4 linked regions of the Solanum lycopersicum genome follow. The protein of the gene in region 1 interacts with the protein of each later gene in a pairwise test. Links are inferred from orthologs where the notes say so. Each region holds a gene or a part of one and is shown on either strand. Other genes may lie near its edges.

The links.
Region 2: the proteins of FALSIFLORA (region 1) and ATP-dependent helicase BRM interact in binary tests that used the Arabidopsis thaliana proteins (3 or more experiments, as listed by UniProt). The link is inferred for Solanum lycopersicum from reciprocal best matches to the Arabidopsis thaliana genes LFY and BRM.
Region 3: the proteins of FALSIFLORA (region 1) and DOT interact in binary tests that used the Arabidopsis thaliana proteins (3 or more experiments, as listed by UniProt). The link is inferred for Solanum lycopersicum from reciprocal best matches to the Arabidopsis thaliana genes LFY and UFO.
Region 4: the proteins of FALSIFLORA (region 1) and chromatin structure-remodeling complex protein SYD interact in binary tests that used the Arabidopsis thaliana proteins (3 or more experiments, as listed by UniProt). The link is inferred for Solanum lycopersicum from reciprocal best matches to the Arabidopsis thaliana genes LFY and SYD.

What each region holds. Positions count from the first base shown.
Region 1 is NC_090802.1:63,961,737-63,965,585, forward strand, and holds FALSIFLORA (FLORICAULA/LEAFY-like protein), read left to right. Parts: upstream 1-1,177; 5' UTR 1,178-1,243; coding exon 1,244-1,718; intron 1,719-2,022; coding exon 2,023-2,414; intron 2,415-2,821; coding exon 2,822-3,196; 3' UTR 3,197-3,320; downstream 3,321-3,849. Other genes in the region: glycine--tRNA ligase, mitochondrial 1, read right to left, coding at 3,530-3,747. UniProt on the Arabidopsis thaliana protein: Probable transcription factor that promotes early floral meristem identity in synergy with APETALA1.
Region 2 is NC_090800.1:82,012,246-82,016,529, forward strand, and holds the start of ATP-dependent helicase BRM, read left to right. Parts: upstream 1-1,461; 5' UTR 1,462-1,780; exon of another isoform or gene 1,781-1,892; intron 1,893-2,045; 5' UTR 2,046-2,101; coding exon 2,102-2,263; intron 2,264-3,172; exon of another isoform or gene 3,173-4,170; coding exon 4,171-4,284. UniProt on the Arabidopsis thaliana protein: ATPase subunit of a multiprotein complex equivalent of the SWI/SNF complex that acts by remodeling the chromatin by catalyzing an ATP-dependent alteration in the structure of nucleosomal DNA.
Region 3 is NC_090801.1:61,733,294-61,736,783, forward strand, and holds DOT (DOUBLE TOP), read left to right. Parts: upstream 1-1,223; 5' UTR 1,224-1,421; coding exon 1,422-2,789; 3' UTR 2,790-2,986; downstream 2,987-3,490. UniProt on the Arabidopsis thaliana protein: Component of SCF(ASK-cullin-F-box) E3 ubiquitin ligase complexes, which may mediate the ubiquitination and subsequent proteasomal degradation of target proteins. Considered as a meristem identity factor required for normal growth of the young floral meristem.
Region 4 is NC_090810.1:54,116,439-54,120,007, forward strand, and holds part of chromatin structure-remodeling complex protein SYD, read left to right. Parts: intron 1-539; coding exon 540-706; intron 707-803; coding exon 804-868; intron 869-958; coding exon 959-1,675; intron 1,676-1,983; coding exon 1,984-2,171; intron 2,172-3,048; coding exon 3,049-3,146; intron 3,147-3,569. UniProt on the Arabidopsis thaliana protein: Catalytic component of the chromatin structure-remodeling complex (RSC), which is involved in transcription regulation and nucleosome positioning.

The sequences.
Region 1 (3,849 bases):
ACAAGTACCCCCCACTTGAGCAAAATGTTCATAATATTTTTTTAAAAATAAAAAATGCATAAATTAATCTTCAATATTTTCGATAATGATTGTTAGTAAACTTTGCACGTTTCTTAGAAAATAATATTTGGTAAGAACATTAGTATAATGTTATTCATGATATGCTTATATATAACAAGAATTAATTAAATATATATATATATATATATGTTTTTGGAATAATGGACAGATAACGTTGAGAATGCCGAGATCTCAGATTCAAATCACTATTTATAAAAAAAAAATCACTAAATAATTTTTTCTCATCTATCTTAATTTTGGCGGACACGGTTACCTGCTATCCATTATTGTTGAAAGGTTACAAGTCGAAGAAGCTAGTTAGAAAAAGTTTCTAAAATAAGAAAAATACAAAAAAGTGGAGAAAAGGGTGTGGAAGTAGAGAGTGGTGAATTGGAACTAGTCTCATTTGAACTAAGTCTATTCAAAAAAAGTAAAATTATTTCAACTGTTGTATCCGTACCTTTTTTTCTCTGTATGCAAATGCAGAAAAGCACATTGCTATTCACGTATCTCTGATCCTATCCCAGAAATTTTGTATATTTTCAAACTTAAGATAATTTTAAAACAAAATTTTATTTTATCTTGGTGTAAAACGTAATTCACTTATCTTTTAATAAATATAAAATTACAAATTGATAACTTTTAGTTAGTACTAAGGTGATAGATAGCATACGTTTCTTTTATATGATGCTGGAAAAGCTTAGTAAATTTTAAGATCAATTCTAGAGCACTATATTTTTTCAAATTATCCAGTAATAATTATCAAGTGATTTATCGAAAATGAATTTAAGTAATCATTACCATGTCATCTAAATCACATCTACATATACATATTTAATTTCCTTTAAACGTTGTGTTTGTAATTTTTTAATATAACAAATTACTACATAAGTTAATAATAATCTGATGATGAAAAATTTAATTTATTGATAGTGTATTAAACTCACTTTTAATTATATAATACTCTTTGATTTATACGAATTAATTTTTTTCTTTCTTAAATTTATATCACTGGAGTAAATAATTGGCTAATTACGTAGAATGATTTTGGAAAAAATAAAGTATACGCAGGCAGTTGTAAGTTTGTAAATATTTATTTTTACAGTCGAAGTTAAACTCTTATAAAAAGCAACAGTTTTTCACCTTCCATTCCATAGTAACCCAAGTGTGTGCTTCTAACAACATGGACCCAGATGCTTTCTCGGCGAGTTTGTTCAAGTGGGACCCAAGAGGTGCAATGCCACCACCAAGCCGGTTATTAGAACCGGTGGCGCCACCACAACCTCCTCCATCTCTACCACCACCACCACCTCCTCAGCCGCTCCCAACATCATCCTACTCCATACGGAGTACGAGGGAGCTCGGAGGACTAGAGGAGTTATTTCAAGCGTACGGCATACGCTACTACACCGCCGCTAAGATAGCGGAGTTAGGGTTCACTGTGAACACGTTATTGGACATGAAAGATGAAGAACTTGATGATATGATGAATAGCCTCTCGCAGATATTTCGGTGGGACCTACTCGTCGGAGAGAGGTACGGTATCAAAGCGGCGATTAGAGCTGAATGGCGGAGGCTGGAGGAGGAGGAAGCACGGCGCCGCGGACACATTTTGTCCGACGGTGGAACGAATGTCCTTGACGCTCTATCACAAGAAGGTACCAAAATTTCAACTTCTCAATTACATGCACTGAATTGTGCTAATAATTTTGTTTCATGCACTGTTATATTGATTTTTAAATTTTCCTGCTTGCATGCAATTCATTGTTTTTTCAAATTTGATTTTATTTTAGTATCACTCACTTTTATAATTCACTTTCATACCCCACCAAAATCATTGCACATAAAATGAAAGAGATCGATCAAGTAAACTAGTAAATTGATTCGTGTTAATGATGTACCAGTGACAATTGTTTATTATACGTTTAAAATGATCTTATACATATGGTGAAAATGGTAAAGTAGGATTATCGGAGGAACCAGTGCAGCAGCAGCAGGAGAGAGAAGCGGCAGGAAGTGGTGGTGGAGGTACATGGGAAGTGGCTGCCGGTGGTGGTGGTAGGATGAAACAAAGGAGGAGGAAGAAGGCGGGGAGGGAGAGAAGAGGGGAAGAGGATGAGGAAACGGAGGAATTAGGAGAAGATGATGAAGAAAATATGAACCAAGGAGGTGGAGGTGGAGGAATAAGCGAGAGACAAAGGGAGCATCCGTTTATCGTGACGGAGCCTGGTGAAGTAGCACGTGGCAAAAAGAACGGCTTGGATTATCTGTTCCATCTCTACGAACAATGCCGTGATTTCTTGATCCAAGTTCAGACTATTGCTAAGGAACGAGGTGAAAAATGCCCTACGAAGGTCACCTTCCTTTTCTCTCTTTCTCATTTTTTTAAAATTATAAATATCGAATACGAAATAATAGTCGAGCTAGGAAAGGTCGTGTATAAAAATGAATGTGGTAACAGAGGACCTCGTTAATTGGGTCTAAGAGTAACCATTAGCTGTCCACAAAGTAAACTCGACAGCTACTGATGGGCTCAACCATAAAGCTTGAATTTCAGCTCTTGCCCCATTACTCCATTTGTACTTCCACTCAAGTACCTCCACCTGTAACTTGTCCTTACCATATACATAGTCTACACATTGACCATCTCGTTTTGATGAAAGCTAGCATGTATCCAAAAAAAAAATAGTTAGGTAGACGTAATTTAAGACAATTACGTAAATTTATCGCATATTGATTCACGAGTGTGTTGAATATGTAGGTGACGAATCAGGTGTTCAGGTACGCGAAGAAGGCAGGGGCAAGCTACATAAACAAGCCCAAAATGAGACATTATGTGCATTGCTATGCACTTCACTGCCTTGATGAGGATGCTTCCAATGCTCTGAGAAGAGCTTTCAAGGAGCGGGGAGAGAATGTTGGGGCATGGAGACAGGCGTGTTACAAGCCATTGGTGGCTATAGCGGCTCGACAAGGCTGGGATATCGATGCAATCTTCAATGCACATCCTCGACTAGCCATTTGGTATGTCCCCACCAAGCTCCGACAGCTGTGCCATTCTGAAAGAAGCAACGCGGCTGCAGCTGCTTCTAGCTCCGTCTCTGGTGGTGTTGCTGATCACCTGCCACATTTCTAATTGTGCTTCTGAGGATGACTGCAGTTTACAAAGTATATCTACTGTGTTAAATCTCTCCGACTTCCCTACTTTTTTCTACTCTTGATGTAATCTTTCAGCTTAAAGATCAAAATTTTCTGCATAACATGGAGGTCCCTCATTTCACTTCTGCAAATTCTGTAACTGCTTAAAGTTTAAGATCTCTAACAGATAATGGTTCAACATAATGGAGAAAAACAACAGAATAGATCTCTCATTGCACAAGTATTTACTGTCACTTTGATGTACGATCGTCAAACAAATTGTCGATGAGTAACAAACCAATGCGCTAATAAAAATTCTCAATTCAAGGGATCAAGAAGAATGAGTAGGGTATTTCCATAACACATCACCCCAGGTGCTCTGCCCATCAGTTACCTCCTTAATAACAGATGCTACTTCATCAACATTCACACGAATCTGCTGCTTGCTGTCTCTTTCACGGATCGTCACAGAGGATGCTGAATCCACTGTAATGGCAAAGGGAACTCCAAGTTCATCTGTTCTTGCATACCTTTTCCCTATTGACGTACCTATAGCACAGAATCACATGGTCAGTGAAGAATTATATAGTCGGTCGACCCAACTTGTATAGCACTTGAGGCATAGTTATTGTATTAGCAGTTCATCAACCT
Region 2 (4,284 bases), on another chromosome or scaffold:
TATTCATGGATTTAAGTTTGTTTATTTTTGGATATTCCTAGCCACTAAGACATTTTTTTTAGTGTTGATCTTATTTTGATATCAAGATTCAATTAAATTTATATTTGTGCAAGAGTTATTTAAGATATAAGTATATATACGTTTATTTCTAAAAATTCAAACTCAATTCTCTCTTCGTAACTAATCTTATCGACATTATTATTTAATTACAAATGTGGTAAGTTATTATGTCCAATAGAGTAAAATAAAATACGTGTAAATAATCTATTTAGATTTTTAGGATTCAAATATCTCTTTTCACGATTTCCTTTTCATAATTATAGTTGCCAAAACAATATTTATCAATTTATGTGATTTTCTTTTATACATTCATATTTATACAATTCAGACAAAAATCAGTTAAAATTCGAATTGTAAAATTCTGAAGTTATGCTCTATATAATAATTTTTCAAATAAAAAGTCGAATGAATTCCTTTCGCGCATATTTCAATAAATAAATTATTTTACTTTTAATTTAACATTTTTTTATAACATACATAAAATAAAATATATGTTAAAATTAATATTTCTTAAATTGGTATTATTTTTTATTCTTATTATTATTATACTAAAAAGAGACTGAAAATGCAAAGCCAAATAGGAATATCCGTCGACACACGTTATTACGTAATCAGATTTCCATATATTATAAAATGTTGGTATTTTGGTAAATATTACGTTTTCTGAGGTTAAATGAATTCCACTAACCTAACCTCTCTATACCTTAACCAGCCCTTAACCCAAGGTAAACCCAAGTTGTTGAGCAAAAAGACAACAAAAATTTAAAAGAATCCATACATACAAATTACAAAAATAATTACAAAAACAAAAATGTAACCAGTTCCAAAATAGTATTCAAAATTAATTTAATTGATTATCAACATTAAATTAAATTAAAAATTTAGATATTTAATTTTTTTTTTATAAAAGTACAATAAATTGTAAATTTTCTCCATATCTATATGATAAAAATATACAATATTTATATTATTTGATTTCTTAAAAGAAGAGTGATAAATTTTTTACCAGTCAAAAAATCTTTTATAGCGTTCACATAATTACTTGTAATGTAATAATATAGTCTCACTATAGAAAAATAATCACATCAATTATAAAGGTATTTATTTATTTAAATAATAATGATATCTATTAATCATGATATGATAAAATAATAAATACTTATTATCATGCTATAACAAGTTAAATTACCATATTTTAGATTTTGAGTTTCACAAGCTCATTAATCATCGCACATTTTTCATTTTTCATTTATATTACTTCTTTATATGACTTTTTTAATTTCATATTCATAATATATATGTCAATTTACACGTATATAATTTATTTATTATTGCTCATCAAATACATTAATAGAATCCATTAAAACTTAGATAAATAGAAAACTCTTTTAAGGGGAATATAATTTACAAAAATATTGCAAATTTTTTCACAAAATTAATTTTTTTTTTTCAAATCTCTAAAAATTGTTTGTTGTCATTTTAATGTAATAGGAGTAAAAAAAAAAAAAGGGAAAAAGGAGAAGCACATAGAAATAACAGCTGTTAGGGCTTGGACTAAAAATGCAAACTGCGTGAAAATTCACACATACACACACCAGACAGCATATATAGAGAGAGATTCCGGCAACTTCGGAAGATCGCCGGCGACTTTTCCGATCTTATCATAGGCCCACAGATTCGCGCCAAAATCCATTCACCATTACCCTCAGCAAAATTCTCGGTAGCTTTTTTTATCAAGAAAATAAGGAAATTATACATACAGGAAAAAAGAGAGAAAATTTTTATAGATAAAGTACAGTTGTGTGGGACAGAGAGGTGTAGAGAGTGGTGAGGTAAGGGGGGTGGGTGGTTGATTTGAACCTTGGGGATCGGGGAAAGTGGGAAATCTTGGGTTTTAGGAAACTACAGGGGTTTCCACTGAAATTAATGTTTCATTACTTATTTTCTTGATGATGGGGTTCTGAAATTAATCAATTAAATTTCAGGTGAGTTGCAACATTTTTGGAGGAAATAGAATTTTTTGCTGAATTTTCAAGGGTGCATGCAATCTGGGGGTGGAGCTCAGCAAGGTGGTGTCGCCGGCGCCGGTGGTGGACATGGGCGGAACACGGCGGCATCAGCCTCAGCTTCTCCAACATCATCTTCTTCTGCCTCTCATATGGGGTTGGATCAGCAGCAGCTGCATCAACAGCATCAGCGGCAGGTTAGGGTTAACAACTTTTTTTCTGAATTTTACTTGTGCTTTTGAGGAAGAGGGGGTGTTTCAAGTGGCATTTTGTTTTTTTCTGAAGTAGGATTGATGTTTGTTATTCTATTTTGGAAGTGGGTTTCGCATAAGACATCAAGTTCTTTTTTTTTTTGTATGATGTTGTTCAACACTAGGTTTGAAGTGACATGAATTTGCTTGCTATGTGAAAGACATTCTTTTTCTTGTTCAATTAGCACTGAGATGCCAGCTGCTAAACTACTTAAGCTTTGGAAGTAGGAGGAATTTGAAAATCTTTGTATGAAGGAGAGAGTGATTTGCTTTTTGTAAGAAAGAGCATTTTTTGTGCTGAAAAATGTATTAGCGCTTGTTGATTTTTAGAGTTATCCAAAATTCACTTTTCAGAGAATTAACTCTGTGTATCTTAGTCTTCCCTCTAATGGAAGTGTTAAGTTCCACCAAGTACGTATTGTCTAGCATGTTGTGATTCCTATTTTTCTTTTTCTTGATAGATAGTTCCACCTTTTCTTCCTTATTTTAAGTGCTCGTCTCTGCCAGGTCTTTAATATTTTAACCTTGACCTATTCAAAAGGTTTATATTTCCAACAGTATTGGAAGTTAATGTGATTCTTAGCTGCAATGATGTTCTCAACTCATACCAGATTAACTGTCATTGCTTCGGTTATGGAATGCAATCTTCTATTTCGTCCATCCACATGACACATTTTGTCCATGTGATTCTTAACTGCAATGATGTTCTCAACTCATACCAGATTAACTGTCATTGCTTAGGTTATGGAATGCAAACTTCTTTTTCGTTCATACATGATATGACACATTTTTTCCATGTGATTCTTAACTGCAATGATGTTCTCAACTCATACAAGATTAATTGTCATTTCTTAGGTTATGGAATGCAAACTTCTATTTCGTCCATACATGATATGCCACATTTTGTCCGTGTGATTCTTAACAGCAATGATGTTCTCAACTCATACCAGATTAATTGTCATCTCTTAGGTTATGGAATGCAAACTTCTATTTCGTCCATACGTGATATGCAACATTTTGTCCATGTGATTCTTAACTGCAATGATGTTCTTAACTCATACCAGATTAATTGTCATTTCTTAGGTTATGGAGTGCAAACTTCTATTTCGTCCATACATATGACACATTTTGTCCAAATTTGATACTTAATGATACTCTGAAAAGTTGTAATTGTCCTCATTTCTAAAATTTTACTGTATTTGATTTCTGAGTTGATTATCCTTAACAGGAAACACATTTATTAAAAGTGAACTGAAGAAGACGAATTGCAGCACAGGACGAAATAAGATGTTGCTTAACTAAACCAGAGTATTTTTGTCCAATATGTGCATAGAATGCTGCAAATTTCCCGAGAAATTCTTTCATGCTTTTGACTGGCAGTATTTGTCCTTCAGAATGCTGCAAATTTCCCTAGAAATTCTTTCATGCTTTTGACTGGCAGTATTTAACCTTCAGCATTATCAACTTTGTCAGTCATACCAGTTTCTCTCGAGTTTCTTGTATGCTATATTGTTATAATATTTTTCCATGTACTTTTGTTGCGTTGTTTGCTTCCAACTACTGATGTCTGGAGAGATTGTTGTTCCTTTTTTTAAATTATTTTTGAAACAATATTTTACCAGGTATGTTTTCAAATAAAGTGTCAAAACTTGTTATGTTGAATCATGATAGCTGCTCTTTTCGAACTGATTTGTGTTTAATCTTAGTGTCTTATTATGTTCCCCTGCTGAAAATATCGTGGTGGCTTATTGTCAAAAATAAGGAAGATCACAATAATCTAGGTCTTATTTAAATTACTCACCTTCTTTTATAAATAACTTTTACATATCACTTATCGGATATTCGTTTTGTAGTCATTACAACAACAGTTACTTAGAAGGCCTGAAGGAAACGAAGCTATTCTGGCCTTCCAGACTGGCAGTCCCCATGGAATTTTAGGTGGGGGTAATTTTGTTGGACCTTCTGGA
Region 3 (3,490 bases), on another chromosome or scaffold:
TGTTCATTGTATAAAAAATAAATATTTTACCTTTACTTTTTACTCGTCTAGAGAAGAAAATAAAATTCCTTAATAAGGAAGATAAATTCACAAATAAATAGAAACAGTTTTCCTCTATGCAGCCTCCCAAAATTATTTGAAAATACTAACTTTTGAAAGTTGGTAAATTTAAAAAAAAAAAAATTAATTATGGTAAGTTTTAACTGATCATGATTTCATCAAACTTCAATTTAAGGTTGATTTTTAATCGATATTTTTCAAAAAATTAACCTTTTGGATTTAGTTTTTGACATTCTTTTAGCGTCATTTGATAGAATATATTGGAAAATCTAACACTTATATTAGTCCTGGTATTACTTAAATCTTTTATTTAGCAGGGTGTATAAATAAATGCATAACAAACCATGATATTATCCAATATCCATATATGGGCTATTAATACATGGGATAACTACCCTTAATATACCAAACCAAACGGAGGATAAGAAATAATTCCTCGTTTCTTTTGACATGTTATTTATTTTTAAAATATTTTTAGTTATTACTTTTGACATATTAATAAAAAATAATTATTTTTTTTTATGTTTTATCTTTAACGTTAAATACTTATTCTCCAAATCATTTTCCAAACCCTAATACTCCCTCTAAACAACTATAACAATATTTATCCACTTTATGAAATCAATAGATAATTTTACACTTACTACTTAATTTTACCCTTATCATTTACTATTTTAGTCATTTTCCCATTATATCAACACAAAGTATTTATTATATTCAAGAGGTGATATAAGAAAATTACATTTTTTAATATAGTTTCTAAAGAAATATACAAAGGTCAATAGCGGATGAGTATTAAACATAATTTTTTTCTCAATAGGCATGTCAAATGAAACCATAACGAGTGAAATGAATAAAGAAAATAGCTAACCTTACTAATAAATCGTATTCTTATACACTCTACTCACTAAAAGCAAACCTAGAACTCCATAGTTAATCAATCATAATAACTTGTCTCTTTATTTGTGTGTGTGTTGTCTGTTGAACTACAGTCTGTAGATTGTCCTTCCTTCCTCGGCCTTGACAAGAAAACACTGAAATGATACATGTATCCATCACTCCACCAACCAAAAAATATATGAAGAAACAAATGCTGCCAAAATTCCTATATAAACTCCTAAAACAAACCAAGAATCCAAAAGACAAACAGAGAAGCCAAAAAAGAGACTTTCCCTTCTAGTTTTCTGCCAAACATTCATATCTCTTTCCTCATTAGTGAAAAACTCCACCTCCTTAACTCACATGTCCACTGAATTTGAGAAACATAAAAGAGTAAAAATAACCTTAACTTTCCTTTTTACAACTCTCCTAGCTTCAAACTCAAAATCCCTTTTAGTATTATCTCCAATTATACTCTAAAAATGGAAGCTTTTCATCATCCCCCTATTAGCTTTCACTTTCCCTATGCTTTTCCTATCCCAACACCAACAACCAATTTTCTTGGAACTCCAAATTCATCATCAGTTAATGGAATGATCATCAACACTTGGATGGATAGTAGAATTTGGAGTAGACTTCCACATAGGCTTATTGATAGAATCATTGCTTTTCTACCACCACCTGCTTTCTTTAGAGCTAGAGTTGTGTGTAAGAGATTCTATGGACTTATTTACTCTACACATTTTCTTGAATTGTACTTGCAAGTTTCACCTAAGAGGAACTGGTTCATTTTCTTTAAACAAAAAGTACCAAGAAACAACATTTACAAGAACGTGATGAATAGTAGTAACTCAGGAGTTTGTTCTGTTGAAGGTTACTTGTTTGATCCTGATAATCTTTGTTGGTATAGGCTTTCTTTTGCTTTAATCCCACAAGGGTTTTCTCCTGTTTCATCTTCTGGTGGATTAATTTGCTTTGTTTCTGATGAATCTGGATCAAAAAACATTCTTTTATGTAATCCACTTGTAGGATCCATAATTCCCCTGCCTCCAACTTTAAGGCCTAGGCTTTTTCCTTCTATTGGTTTAACTATAACCAACACATCTATTGATATAGCTGTAGCTGGAGATGACTTGATATCACCTTATGCTGTTAAAAACTTAACTACAGAGTCATTTCATATTGATGGTAATGGATTTTACTCAATATGGGGTACAACTTCTACACTTCCAAGATTATGCAGTTTTGAATCAGGCAAAATGGTGCATGTACAGGGGAGATTTTATTGCATGAATTTTAGTCCTTTTAGTGTGCTTTCTTATGATATAGGGACTAATAACTGGTGCAAGATTCAAGCCCCGATGCGACGATTCCTACGTTCACCGAGCCTTGTTGAAGGGAATGGTAAGGTTGTTTTAGTTGCAGCAGTTGAAAAGAGTAAACTGAATGTGCCAAGAAGTTTGAGGCTTTGGGCATTGCAAGATTGTGGTACAATGTGGTTGGAAATAGAAAGAATGCCACAACAATTGTATGTGCAGTTTGCTGAAGTGGAGAATGGACAAGGGTTTAGTTGTGTTGGACATGGTGAATATGTGGTGATAATGATTAAGAATAATTCAGATAAGGCATTGTTGTTTGATTTCTGTAAGAAGAGATGGATTTGGATACCTCCTTGTCCATTTTTGGGAAATAATTTAGACTATGGTGGTGTTGGTAGTAGTAATAATTATTGTGGAGAATTTGGAGTTGGAGGGGGAGAGTTGCATGGATTTGGTTATGACCCTAGACTTGCTGCACCTATTGGTGCACTTCTTGATCAGTTGACATTGCCCTTTCAGTCATTCAACTGATAGTTAAACTGTTTACAAGTGGGGTATCAGTAGTACTAGTACTATGAATAGTGTTTCATTTGGACCTTAATTAATTGTATTTTTAGTGTTTAATTATCTAGTGTTTTTATATTACCAAGTCTTTAGTAAGAAGAAAGTTTGTACTCTACTATTGTTGGTTGACTTATTAATATGAGTTTTACATTGATTTGTGCTTATATATAGTTTAGTTAGGTATCTTTTTTTACTTCCTTTTGAAAATACCAAAGTAGAAAACCCTAATCATTAAAACAACAAGAATATCGTTATGTTGTCAATTTTACCGATGATTTTATTAGCATATCATAGAGTATTCGACATATTTACAGTACACAACCATCTTACAAATCTAATTTTCTAACTTTTTTTTGTAAATTTTAACCAAAGTTTACGATGGATAATCGATATATAATTAGTTTATTATACAAGCTAAAATTGTTAGGATCCCTCGTTTTGATTTGATTCTAAGTCATTTTTTTGCCACGTGGAATATAATAACCTCATTTGCTATAAGAAAGTTAATTTCAAAGTTATAAATGAAAATTAGCTTCTGGTTGATTAGTTGGTTTTTCTCTTGAAATAAGTGAAAAGTATGAAAAAAGAAAAAGTAAAACTTGTTCATCTCATAATTTTTAAGAGTGAGAACAAAATCAACTACATGCAATTATTGGATGTTAATGTTA
Region 4 (3,569 bases), on another chromosome or scaffold:
TACTGTTATGGTTTACCCAATTTCTTCTTTAACTAGGTAACAAATGATGATCTGGAACCAGCTAATACAGAAGTCTAGGCAAAATTAGAGGGCCAGGATAACATGATTTTTTCCGTGTATCTGTTTTATAATTTGTTTAGTTGCATTTTCATCATCATTATAAGTTCCTAAGATTAGGAGAAGATCTCCAGATCGAGGTTACAACATTTTATTAACTAGTGTAAAACTATCTTTATTATTATTGCAGGCATCCCGTGAGCACCAATAGAAGGATATCCAAAAAACTGAACTTCATTATTTTCGTCTCTTGTAGTTGTTGTTATGAATCCTTTCCTTGGCTTTTCAAGTTAGATGAGTTTTGATCTTCTTTCCAACTATTGCTTGAGCTGGACTGCATAGAACAGAGGACCTTCTACTATGTTTAGGTTTCTCAATTTCGAGAAGCACATAGATTGTGATAGTATTTAGTTGGTTTTCTTTTTCAGCAGTATCTGTTTTCTCTGTGCTTCATCTTTGCCTTAATTTGTTTGTGTTAACAGGGGGGCATGCCCAACAATGTCCCAGAGAAGAGTATACTTAGAAGTGAAACAATCAGAGATGCAGGGATGTTGTCTGTCGCTGCTCAGGCTCCTGTATCTACCATGCCTTTCAAAGAACATCATTTGAAACAGCTTAGAGCACAATGTCTTGTGTTTTTGGCTTTTAGGTATGTAGGATAATGAAGTTAGATTCTAGTGTTTGTCATTATGCAAAGAAGTTTTTGCTTTCGGCTGCCACAGTTTTCAATATCTCTTCACTTATAGGAATGGTTTAATGCCAAAGAAGCTTCATCTTGAGATTGCACTCGGAAACTTCTATCCGAAAGAAGGTATCTGCTGCTTAATAGCTCTATTTTTTTCTTGCTCTGATTCAAATGTTATATAATCTGTTTCATGTGCTAATGTATGGTGTTCTATAGATCGCAGAGAATTGGTTGACCATAAAGGAAGGGAGCAACTGGTTACTGACCAAGGCAGCGCATCTGAAGTCACACGGACATTTGGAGGAGCTGGCGAAACTGACAGGATTTCTTCTGGTCCTACACCTTCTGGAATTCTTACCGATACAAATTCATCAATGGAGGCTGAGAATGCAAACTTGATGGAAGATAAAAATGGTCAGCTTGATCCTTCTGAGCATGCTGACGAAAGGAGACCCCAAAGAAAAATGAGAATGATTCAGGATGCTGAAATGCCCATCCAGGATGCTATAGAATCACAGGCATCTGCTCTTAGAGGAGTTCCGACTGATCCGAAATCCTTTCCTCCCTATAATCATGAGAATGCTCCTGCAAATACTGAACAGCTTGGAATGTTTCCTCAAGCTTCCTCTGTTATGGGCACAAGCAAGCAAATGAAGCCTGATCTGAGTGGTAGGAGTGGAACTGAGGCTTCAAAGGTATCACCAACTGCCTCCGCCAATACCCATGGATCGGGTCTGCTAATGAGAGATAATCATACTGGTCAGTCTCAAAATCTTGTTGATAGCAATGCTCAAGGAAATCGACATGCTGATAGTAACTTACCTAGTTTACCCTTGAGGCAACAGTGGAAATCTGTTCCTGGAGTAATTAATCAGAGTCCTACAATGATGCAAGTGAAGGATTCAAATATAACGCTGAAAAATCTGTCACAAGGTCTGAATAATATAAGAATTTCACCTCTTATCTATTTCCTTACAAAAGATCACCTTCCCCCCTTGGTTTTAGCTTTGGGGATCTAAGTAAGACGAACTTCTGTTATAACTTCCATGCACAGATGCAGATACCACCTTTGTTTTACTTGCTTTTCTTTTTCTTTGCCATTATGGTGTGGTCAAGTCCCGTCCATGGGATTGATGTTCCTGTGTGCTGAGTGTACATACATATTTCTCTTTGTATGATTAGTTATTGTTCTAACATCTGCACATTGAGTTCTAACATCTGTGCACCAAGTTCATTTACAGTGCAAGAAACAGATCAAGAGGATGATAATATTTCAGCATCCACGGATAGGTTATCATCTCCAAGGCATACAATGCTGGAGAAATGGATTCTGGATCAACGGAAAAGGAAGCTTATTAGTGAACAGAAATGGTCGAAAAAACAGCAAAAAACAGAAGAAAGAATTGCTGCTTCTGCTGAGAAGTTGAAGGTCTGTTATTGAAAATCCTTCTTCCTTATGAGATGCAATGCTCTTATCAGGATTTCATGTAGACTGAATTATGGGGTGAGCTTTGTTGATACTGATTAGATTGGGTACTGTCTTAAGGCTTACTTCTGGTGGAATATATACAAAGCTACTCTTCATCAAAAAATTGGATATATACAAAGTTACTCTTCATCAAAAAATTCCGAAGATTCTCAATTGTTTCTTAATTCCATTTTGAAACGGTCAAAGCAACTGCCGACTGTGTAGGCTGTGCAGATGAAGAAAAACTGTTTAGTTGGTCATTTTTCTACCTTAGCTGCAAAATGTTAAATTAAACTGCATAATGAGCGCAAAATGATGTCATTGATGCCAAGATAATAAGCAATTGAAGCTGGCATCAATGACTTTAATGTTGAATAGGTCTTTTCTTTATGGATCTTGAGTGAGTGTATGAGTTACATTATCCCTTAAGAAATGGATTTCATTAAACCTTTGCACAAGCTATTTTTGATGCTTTAGACCCGAAGATTTTTGAAAAGTAGACTTGCTTGTATTTTTGGATATTTCTACATCCCATGAGAATTGGGTACTTATACATGGAGTCCTATGACTAATTAAGGAAAGAGAATCAATACAATAAAATACAATGGAATAACATATTCTATTCTCCCATTATTGAGCTTTTCAATCAACAATGTCCTCCAATCAACACAAACCATTGGATGATATGCTCTTCCAGCATGTGATACACATGTGAGAACTATTATAAGCATCTTTAATGTCTGTAGATTGCTGCGACCTGATTATCTGATAAATGACTCTTACATCCCGGTTAAGATCGCTCGCATGTGATAAATACTCGTCTTCCTTTATGTGGCAGGAATCTGTGAGCTCCTCTGAGGATATCTCTGCAAAAACGAAAAGTGTCATTGAGCTGAAAAAGCTTCAATTGCTGGAACTGCAGCGTCGCTTACGGAGGTAATCAGTCTTGGCTTACTTGCTTACTTTTTATGTATATCTAGATTTAGGGGTTCTAATCATCCCCAACCCGCTCACTCCGTATACCGGTTGGGTCATTACCCACTTGTTATGTTTACTCAACGGGTTGAGTTAGAAATGACCCATCAAACAATTGAGTCGAAATGGGTCAAATTACTGCAACCCGATGGGTCAAAATGTAACCCAACCCAAACAAGCAAATCATATTAGTAAAAGGAACTATTTCTTGAAACTCGGTTCTTTTTTCATGGCAAACAAGTCTAATTGATCAAAGGTAATTAAGCTAGCTAATCTAAGAAGTTTGATCTATTAATCATTTTAATTAAGGATGAAATGAAATCTTATAAAGTACTACTACTGGGTAGATGCATGGTTGGGCCACAATACTCTTAAAGAGTAGTT